Linked DNA regions of Macaca mulatta. The protein of the gene in region 1 binds, or shares a complex with, the protein of each later gene. Links are inferred from orthologs where the notes say so. Each region holds a gene or a part of one and is shown in the gene's direction. Other genes may lie near its edges.

Region 1 (4,239 bases):
GAGGGGAGAAAGGCCTTCAGGTTTTCAGATTCCCAGGTCTACTTGCATCCAAGACTCAAGTGCTTGGGCACTTTACAGATCCCCTTTGAGCCTGAAACTGCCCAACTGTTAACAACAGATCAGGAAACTGAGGCCATGAGGAGGAAGGGGTCTGGCTCAGGGCTCCACACGTCAGAGCAGAACAGGCCTCAGCCTCCTGCTTCCCTGGCCAGGGAGGACGGGGCCTGTGGGCAGAGCAGGGCAGTGCATGTGGACTCAGGGGAAGGAGAGGCTCTGGCGGTCGAGAGCCAGGGCAACAGGGAGGCTTGACAGAGCACAGGGGAGCTCTCCCTCCTTTGGGCACAACTGCCCACTGACTCCCGCTGGTGTGGTCACAGAATGGCCTACGTGTCCCGAGATACCCCTTGGAGCAGTGCACTTCAGAGCAGCTGGGGCAGGAGCACCGTAAGTGCTGTTTGTCATAGTTTCACTATGTCCTCTGGCCAGTCCATTCTGCTTTTTGGTCCCGTTTCCCCCACCTGGAGGCCAGGTATCACCGAGCTCCCTGCCTCCCCGTCTAACTTGCGAAACAAAAAGTACTTTGGAAACTCTAATGAGTGGTACCCTCCCCAGGACCCTGGAAGACCCAGGGAGGGGGGCCCTAGGAACGTGCCCAATGGCTGAGGGTGGTTGGGGCCAGCTGCCTCACATGCAGGGCGCTGGGGGCTACAGCTGGAATGTGCTGAGTGGCAGCTGCCACGTGAATCATTATACCTCATCAGGCTGAGCCTAGGACTTCCAGACACAAACCAGCTCAGACTGGGCTCAGGCAGAAGGGCAGCCTCCAGCCGGGTCACAGGGCTGGGGATGAGGCTTCTGGGATCTTGCAGGGTCTCTGTCTCCCTGTCTGCCCACATCTTCATCCTGAGCAACCAGCCCTGGTTCTGAACACAGCTCGTTCTACAGACCCACAGAGAGGTCATCCTGTCCACAGCCCCCTGCCTTTGGGACCTGTGACGGCTTAAGCAGACCCTGGGCCTGGAAGGGCCTGGGAGGCAGATAGAGAGGGCTTCCTGGCTGACTCCTCACCAGGAGCCCACATTCCAGTGGGCAAGGAGTCAGATATGGGGTGACTGTGGGGCTGTAGGGGTCAGGACACGGGCAGGAGTGGAATGACGCCCCCACCCCAATCTCTTCCGTCTAGGAGCCACTGGGTACCCAGTGCTGGCAGATCAGGCTTTCTTGGGCCTCAGTTGTCCTGCCCGTGACACAGGCAAGAACCACCTCCAGCCCCCCTCTGATTTCTCTGGGTGCCTTAAACTTGAGTGAAGTCACTAGTAGGGGCTGTGTTCATACCTCATGGCGGCCTGATATTCCTGAGATGTGGAAAGGACCAGAGGGTCAGACAGGGACACAGAGACTAAGAGAGAGGCGTGGCAGGGCAAGGGGAGGACTACTGAGGCACACACACATGTCTGGCAGCCTGAGTGGGCCCGGTTACCTGGCAGGCAGACCCATGGGTGCTGAGATGAGGGCCCAACCCAGGGCATCTGAACACTGGCATGCTTGGATCTGTCTCTGTTGCCTCCTACTCCTGACTAGGGGTCTGGGACAAAGTCCTGGGCCAGTGTAGGGCTTGGTAAAAAATAATTAATTTTTCTTTTCAAGTGGAAGCTCTGACTCAGGCCTTTTCCTGTCCTCAGCAGCGCTATCCTTGCTTAGGCCTGAGCCACAGAAGCTGCTCAGGGACTATCCATGGCCTCCCCGTGGCCAACTTGAGTCTGCTCTGCAGTTGTAGGCCCGACTTGGAAGGCCCGTGGGCTCCAGGTGAGTGGGGGCCAGGGGAGCCTGGGGGCCTGAGCACAGCTGGGAGGTCCAAGTCTGTGGTTTCCCCGGGGGTGAGTATGTAAGTACCTGGGCCGGCCGTGCTGTGGGGTAGACAAGACATGCCTGCATGGAGACACATCTGTGGACCTGGTGTTATGACAGCAGGGGGCTTGTAACCATGAGGCCAGCAGGGACAGAAAGCCCATACCTCTAGCTCTTTGGGAGTGCTCCCTGGCTGGGACAGAGCCTGCTGGCCCCACGTGCCCCCATCGTCCCTCCCTTCATCTTCCTGAGAAGCAAGAAAGCCGGGCAGCCGTGCTTCTGCTGCAAGGGGAGGGGGCTGCCCAGCCAGCTGCCATGGGAGCCTCCAGCGACTCCGCCGGGTGTCAGGGGGTGTTTATGAGCAGCCGAAATGGCTGTAAAAGTGGCACCTCGCTTCACTTATGGCCTGGCCATCCCCTCCCCTACTGGCCTCTTGCCTCAAAAAGCTTCCAGAGGGGCCTGGAAGCTGAGAGAGGTCTGGGTGGAGGCACAGCTTGGGGTCAGAGTTCAGCCAGGGGCTAGAAATCAGATTGGGATAAGAACTCAGCCTGAGGCTGGGGCTCATCATGGAGATAGAGCTTAGTCTGGGATCAGGGCTAAGCTTGGATGCAGGCTGACTTTGGGGCTAGTGTTGGGATGAAGCAGTGGGGGAATATAAGGACTCAGAAATAGATAGATGTGAGCCATTAGTCCCAGAGAATCCCTGGTCCGGGCAAGGGCAAGGGGTTTTCTGAGGGAGGGAACCAGGCTGCATTGTTCAGAGAGCTGAGCCTCTGCCTTGCTTGTTGGTGTCTGATGCCCACCCTGGCCCCAGGGTCTGTGTACCTTGGCCAGAGCCCTAGTCACAGTGGGATGGCTGCAGCAGAGGCCTGTCAGCCTGGGGCTGCCACACCAGCAGGGGTGGGGCCAGAGTCCGGCCCCTACTGCAGTTCTGAGATCCAGTGACCACCCTGGCTCCTCCTCCTAGGCCCCAGCCTGGGGATTAGAGACAGGGACTCACTCCTACTCCCCACCTCCAGCCAGGCCTTGTCAAACGCCAGTGAAACTAACACTGACCTGACACTAACCAGAAACTGACTAACCAGGCCCCTGGGGCCTGCTTGTCAAAAAGGGCAAGCTGACTCTGCCAGGTGCTTGGGTGCTACCAGTTAATGTGTGACACCCCCACCCTCATGGTGGCACTTTAACCAGAGGCCTGAGGGTGAGAGAGAGGATCTGTGGCCCCACCCACAGCTGTGGAATGTCCAGCAGGGGACTATGGGGTGAGGCACATGAGTTATGGCAAGGGGAATGCCCTTAAGGGGCCCAGCACCCATCAAAGATTCCTCTCTGCAGCCCTCTCCACAGCCCACTCTGGTCCTCCCAAGTACAAACAGTAAGTTTCCAAATCTCAAGTTTTCCCTGGTGTCAGATCTGAAAAGATCTCCTCCCTCAGCCTCTAGTTTTATCTCTCAGTCCTTCCAATCCCTCCATTAATGTTCTTTTCTCATCACCAAGGGGGAAAGCAGGGTGGGAGATCAGTGGTCACAGAACCATAAAACTGAGAGACACAGAAACAGGCATAGGCCAGGTGTGGTGGTTCATGCCTGTAATCCCAGCACTTTGGGAGGCCGAGGCAGGAGGATTGCTTGAGACCAAGAGTTGGAGACCAGCCTAGGCAACAAAGTGAGACCTCGTCTCTACAAAAAAAAAAAAAAAAATTTAATTACCCAGGTGTGGTGGCTCATGCCTGTGGTCCCAGCTACATGAGAGGCTGAGGTGGGAGGATTGCTTGAGCCCAGGAGGTCCAGGCTGCTATGAGCCGTGACCGTGCCACTGTATTCCAGCCTAGGTGACAGGGCAAGATCCTGTCTGGAAAAAAAAAAAATGCTGGGTGTGGTGGCTCACGCCTGTAATCTCAACACTTTGGGAGGCCGAGGCAGGTAGATCACTTGAGGCCAGGAGTTTGAAACCAGCCTGGCCAACATGTAGAAACCCCATCTCCAGTAAAAATGCAAAAATTAGCCAGGCGTGGCGGTGCACAACTGTAATGCCAGCTACTCGGGAGGCTGAGGCCAAATAATTGCTTGAACCTGGGAGGTGGAGGTTGCAGTCAGCCAAGATCACACCACTGCACTCCAGCCTGGGCAACAGCTCTGTCTCAAAAAAGAAAAGAAACAGAGGCATAATAAAGCTGAGACCATTAAAATATAACACCGAAGAACCACAAGTGTTCTTTAGGTGCCCATTCTGGCACCTGGGCCTCTGTCCCAAGGAGCCTACATACCATAGGAGGCAGCCCTGAAATCACAACCTCCCTCCCCAGTAATGGAGGATGTGGGCACACAAGGAGGGAGGGAAGTGTCCTTTACACCAGGCAGAGGAGTATGATCCTGGCAGAGGAAGCAGCAA
Region 2 (5,793 bases), on another chromosome or scaffold:
TGGGCAATTTAGCTAGACCCTGCCTCTAGAAAAAATTTAAAAATTAGCTGGTTGCGGTGCTGTGTGCCTATAGCCCCAATTACTCAGGAGGCTGAGGTGGAAGGATTGCTTGAGCCCAGAAAGTTGAGGCTGCCATGTCCATGCCACTGCACCACTCCAGTCTGAGAGATAGAGTAAGACCCCATCTCAAAGAAAAAAGAAAAACCATTTGTATTTCCAATTCTTCTTCTCAACAGAGTATAACAGAAAAATGATACACAAACATCACATGTAGAGTTTACATCAGAAGAGGTCTTTAAAAAGATCAAGACAACAGATTTTTACAGTTAAAAGAGACCTCTTGGTTATCTAGTTCAACCTTCATCTATGTATGAATCTCCATAGGACACCTGATAAATGCTTATCTACCTTCTACTTGAATATTCTCAGTGATGGAGAAATCATTATTTGAGAAGGTACTTGATTCCTTATTTTGACAATTATAATGTCCAGTTTAAGCCCTATGAACCCAGCCCTTCCTTCTTAAACCACAGAGAATACTCCTTCCTTATGGTAACCCTATAACTAAACACAGCTATAAAGTCATCCCATCTTTCTTTCCTCAGACTTTTCTAATTTCATTCAACTACTTCTCATGTTATAGTTTTCAACATTTTCACCAAACTGATTGATATCCTCAATATATGTTCCCATTTGTCTCTACTACTTCTAAAATGGAGCCTGGAGCAACACTCTAAGTGAGGTTTACCCAGAGCAGAGAATTTCCTAGGGAAGGACTAGTATATATCTCTCATTATAAACTCCATATGGTTACTATTCAAATTTGTACCGGCTCTTACCTAAGGTAGAGTCAAACCTTGACAATGGCTAGTAGGAAAAGGATGACATGAAGCCAGAATGGGACCAGAGCTGAGAGAGCAGATCCCACTCTGTAACCGGATCTTTGGTGGGAAAGCAAAGCTGTCTAAAGGAGTCCTAGATATATCAAAGACATTCAACGTGTTTTGATAGGTGGACCAGGCAATTATTGCTGGAGCAATATTTGAAGTCAGACATGTAGCAGCATCATGCCCCATTAGGTTTTGGAGCAGGCTCTCATCATCCCTTAGGGAACATGAGAATAAAGACTTAACTCCTGGGGGAAAATGCTGCAATGAGTTTTTGCTGTGATTTCAGATGACTTTGCAAATTAAAGTCAAGACTGGAGTTCAAAGAAGGGCTATATTTTTAGGCAGAAACTGAGGTAGTAAGAATCGGGTGTCATAAAGACCTTTGTTGAATTCCATCTTTTCTGCTTTCCAAGCCTAAGTTTCCTCATGTAAAAATGGGGATAAGTACCTACTTTAGTACTTTAAGTACTAACTTTAAAGGACTGCTGTGAAGATCTAGTGGGATAATGTATGTAATTAGGCATGCAGTTAGTGCTTATCAAATGTTGTTATTACAGATTAAGATGCACAAATAAAATATAACTTAAATAAATTTTAAAATAATTTCACTTTTGAAGCTTTTAAAGTAATTATGTACCAAGAGAATTTTCTCCAATTATTTTTAACAATTCCTTTAAGAAAAGGGCTACATCTTTTTGAAAGATGACCAGAAGTGACATGGATTGGTTGAAAATGGCTTGTAAAATAAGCATAACATCTATGATTTATTATCATAAAATTGTACCAACAGTATGGTTATAACAAATATACTTATTTTTGGATTTTATTTTCAAGTAAGATAATGACTTTATCATATATCTTTGAAATCAGTCTTTTCACAGTTTAAATTCAGATTCATTAATCCAGGTAGAATTTTTCTAGGTGGCATAATTCTGTATTTGTTAAAAGTCTTTGCATAAGCCCCTTTTCAAGCCAAATGCTGTTTTCCTTTTAGTATCCAACTAACCAAAACTTAAGAAGAGTGTGCACCGCCCTGTGGGTGTGTGTATGTGCTGCTTTGAACCTATAGGTGAGATCCAGAGAATTGGGAGTGACATCATCTGTAACAATAAAAGAGCCTCTCTTGGCAAGCAGAAGATCTATATATAAAAGTCACATTTAAGGGTCTGCAGTCCAATTCATCAGTTGTCTTTAGTTTACTCAACATCAGCTCCTAATATACCTGAAAGAAGATTTTGTTCTAAGACATTGCATGGTAAGTAATCTTAAAAATTCACTTCTGAATCTCATGAGATTTTTGATAATCAAGTTATTATTTAATGTGTACCATTTCTACAAATACCATGTTATTTCTTCAAGGTAAAATGCTAAGAGTGTTATGTTTAATATAAAATGTCACATACAAAATAAATTAATACCATTAAAATACTCTCAAATCACAAAATACATTGTGATTAAAGTCTTCTGAGATACCTTGCTTTTTAAAAACTCATCTGAAATTATAGCAAAAAATCATTAAAATTTGGCATGCTATGCTTTAATATAATAGTATTGGTATCAAAATTTTGAAATAAAACAGGCTGATGGTGAATGAATAGTTCTGGTTTAAATAATCACTATAAATGTATTAAGTGGAGTTAATATTCTATTTTTCCTGCAGAGTATTCTTATTTAGATTATTTATTTTATGGCTCATAAAGAGCCCAATCTGTATACTAAAGTTGGACAAGCACAGTTTGACTAGTGAATATTTATTCCTTTCACATAAATGACAGTTCTATTCTGAAAACTGTATCTCCTTAATTTCATGAAATTGTATTACATGAATTTAAGGGTGTTTTGCAACAATTTTTCAGCTTTTTTTCATGATATTCTTATAAGAAGCCCATATTCCTGTGAAGACAAGGAAGCAAAGCAGAGATATCTGAGGTCACTAGATGAATATGACAAAGTAAGATTAGACTCCAGTGCTCCTGTCCTCCAGCTACAGTGCTTGTTTCTAACATAAACAGAAAAAGAACATTTTCATGTTGCTCCATCAATAGCTTTATATTGTAGAGTAAACAAAAATGTAGCAGATTATATTTCCTATGCTACTTCTAAATGATGAGTTTCCCTGTAAAACATAACTACTCTATGTGTATGTTAAAATGTAGTACACTGAGCATTAAGGAAAAGCACTTCTATAATAACAGCCTTTGCAAGTACTGAAATGCTGATTAAGGCAAGAATATCCTACATCGATGTGAAACGAAGAAAGAGACAAACGTTATATTAAAAGATAATTGTTAATAAAATAGGTTGAATAAATAAAATACAAGCATTCCATTTAGAGATAAAGCTCAAAATCCATATCACAAGTAATCAATCAGATGATTTTTAAATGTTTTGACACATTATTTTTAATGCTAGGAGAAATGTGCATTAATTTAGTGAAAATCTCTAAATTAGCACCTATTTGTTTGGTGTTTATGGTTATTATTACAATGCCTGAAATGAAGTTTACTTAAGAAAGGGATTTGCTAAGTAAATAAACAGTGTTAACAATTTACACTATTAAGAAAATTAGCCATTTTCAAGCAAGTTATAAGCATTTAGGCATAATCAACATAAAATGCAGTGCGGGGGGGCATTCTCAAAAATAAGCTCTTTCATTCCTCTTGTGGCTTAAGATTTATATATTAAAACTTGCACAAGAAATCTCCAAAAGATAGTTAGGAGCATAAAACTAATTTCTAAGTTAAATTATGTGTATATATAATGTATACTAGTGTATCCATAAAATAAAGAGGTTGGTTCCAAAAGCTTCTCATGAAAACCAACCCAATTAGTTAGTATTGCATTCTGTGTACTATAGTTTTGAATATTAAAAGTATTTTAAAATACCTCCATTTTGCCTTTCCTTTTAGTGAAGATGATACCTGCAAAAGACATGGCTAAAGTAATGATTGTCATGTTGGCAATTTGCTTTCTTACAAAATCAGATGGGAAATCTGTTAAGTAAGTACTGTTTTGCCTGGGAATTGGATTTTTAATGTTGACTTTATCATTTTGAAGTGGGGAGCTAATGGGAAGTGGCCCTCTCTGTTTCTCTTCTTCCCAGGAAGAGATCTGTGAGTGAAATACAGCTTATGCATAACCTGGGAAAACATCTGAACTCGATGGAGAGAGTAGAATGGCTGCGTAAGAAGCTGCAGGATGTGCACAATTTTATTGCCCTTGGAGCTCCTCTAGCTCCCAGAGATGCTGGTTCCCAGAGGCCCCGAAAAAAGGAAGACAATATCTTGGTAGAGAGCCATGAAAAAAGTCTTGGAGAGGCAGACAAAGCTGATGTGGATGTATTAACTAAAGCTAAATCCCAATGAAAATGAAAATAGATATGGTCAGAGTTCTGCTCTAGACAGTGTAGGGCAACGATACATGCTGCTAATTTTTCAAAGCTCTATTAAGATTTCCAAGTACCAATATCTCTGATATAACAAACTACATATAATCCATCACTAGCCATGATAGCTGCAATTTTAATTGATTATTTTGATTCTACTTTTATGCATTTAAGAGTTATTTTAATTATTCTTTTCTATAGTTTATTCTTTTTAAAGTATGTTATTGCATAATTTATAAAAGAATAAAATTGCACTTTTAAACCTCTCTTCTACCTTAAAATGTAAAACAAAAATGTAATGATCATAAGTCTAAATAAATGAAGTATTTCTCACTCATTGCAAGTATATCTTTTTGGTTATGATGGATACCCAGATGTTTACATTGATCATGACTAGGTAGAACAATACAAAGTATTTTTTTAATCATGTGCTTCACATTTGGATATTTTGAACATCAACCTTTTAGTATTACCAAAGTACGAGGTTTCCCAATTTTCAGTGGCTAAATACTGTTGTCCTCTTGGTTTCAGGAAAGGAAATAAAATGCTCAGCAAAAAAAAGGGGCATGAAGTGGTCTGAAACTTGAAAAAAGTATTTGCCCCTACATAAAAACCCACTAATCATAGTTCTAGTCTGGACCCAAAATTGCAAGAAATAGAATGTTTATATCTATTAGAAGATAATTTCATTCATTCATTTGTCATTTGACAAATATTTATTTAGTGTTTATTTATTTGTCATGTACTGTCTTAGGCACTAGCATACAACGGTAAACAAAACAGACATGGTTTCTGTCTTCATGAGGCCTAAGATTTAATGGAGAAGCCAGATATTATTAATCCATAATTTAGTTTGATAAGTGCTATGTAAGCACAGCACACGATATTGCAGGAGTATAAAATACAGAGCCCTAATGTACTTAGATCAGTGCTGTCCAACAGAACTCTCTGTGATGACAAAAATGTTCTGTATTCTGTGTTGTCCAATGTGGTAGCCACATGTTCATTTATATAAAATGTGGATAGTGTGACTGATGACTGATTTTTATCTACTTATTTTTATTTTCAATCCCTTGGTCAATTTGAACGATTTTAAAATTTAAATTTAATTTAAAACTAATTTAAATAAAATTATAAAATTAAAAATATGAATAGCCACATATGGTAGTGGCTACTATACTGTACTGAACAGTATAGTTCAATCTCAAGATGATCCAGTTGAATAAGAAACATGAGTAAGAGTTAATTAGATGAAAAGAAGTAGGAGGGTTTCCCAGGCAGGTGGTATAGCATATGCAAAGGCACTTAGTTGGGAGGGAAGATGGCTGTAATGCTAAAAGCCAGGATTACAAAAATGAATAAGATTCCATCTCTGGCCTCAAAGAGTTCATGTTCTAATGAGAAAGACAGATAGGTGAGCAAGTAATTACAATACAAATGCAAAATACTGTGAGATACAGACAGAGTAGACTCGCCTGATAGAATGAACAATTGAGATGGAACTTTAATGGCAAGTGA

What was found. The genes of interacting proteins can lie anywhere in the genome.
Region 2: the proteins of PTH1R (region 1) and PTH are in contact, whole or in part, in a cryo-EM structure (PDB 9JR3), measured with the Homo sapiens proteins. The link is inferred for Macaca mulatta from reciprocal best matches to the Homo sapiens genes PTH1R and PTH. Residues at the interface, in NP_000307.1 of Homo sapiens: Val31, Met32, Thr33, Lys34, Glu35, Gln37, Ile38, Leu41, Glu111, Trp112, Asp113, His114, Ile115, Ile135, Tyr136, Asp137, Phe138, Arg146, Arg162, Thr163, Ala165, Tyr167, Val171, Leu174, Thr175, Glu177, Glu180, Arg181, Phe184, Leu187; in NP_000306.1 of Homo sapiens: Ser32, Val33, Ser34, Glu35, Ile36, Gln37, Leu38, Met39, His40, Asn41, Leu42, Gly43, Lys44, His45, Leu46, Asn47, Glu50, Arg51, Val52, Glu53, Trp54, Leu55, Arg56, Lys58, Leu59, Asp61, Val62, His63, Asn64, Phe65.

What each region holds. Positions count from the first base shown.
Region 1 is NC_133407.1:110,216,328-110,220,566, forward strand, and holds the start of PTH1R (parathyroid hormone/parathyroid hormone-related peptide receptor), read left to right. Parts: upstream 1-1,439; 5' UTR 1,440-1,806; intron 1,807-3,069; exon of another isoform or gene 3,070-3,223; intron 3,224-4,239.
Region 2 is NC_133419.1:51,927,568-51,933,360, forward strand, and holds PTH (parathyroid hormone), read left to right. Parts: upstream 1-2,058; 5' UTR 2,059-2,145; intron 2,146-3,799; 5' UTR 3,800-3,804; coding exon 3,805-3,890; intron 3,891-3,993; coding exon 3,994-4,255; 3' UTR 4,256-4,612; downstream 4,613-5,793. UniProt on the Homo sapiens protein: Parathyroid hormone elevates calcium level by dissolving the salts in bone and preventing their renal excretion. Acts by binding to its receptor, PTH1R, activating G protein-coupled receptor signaling.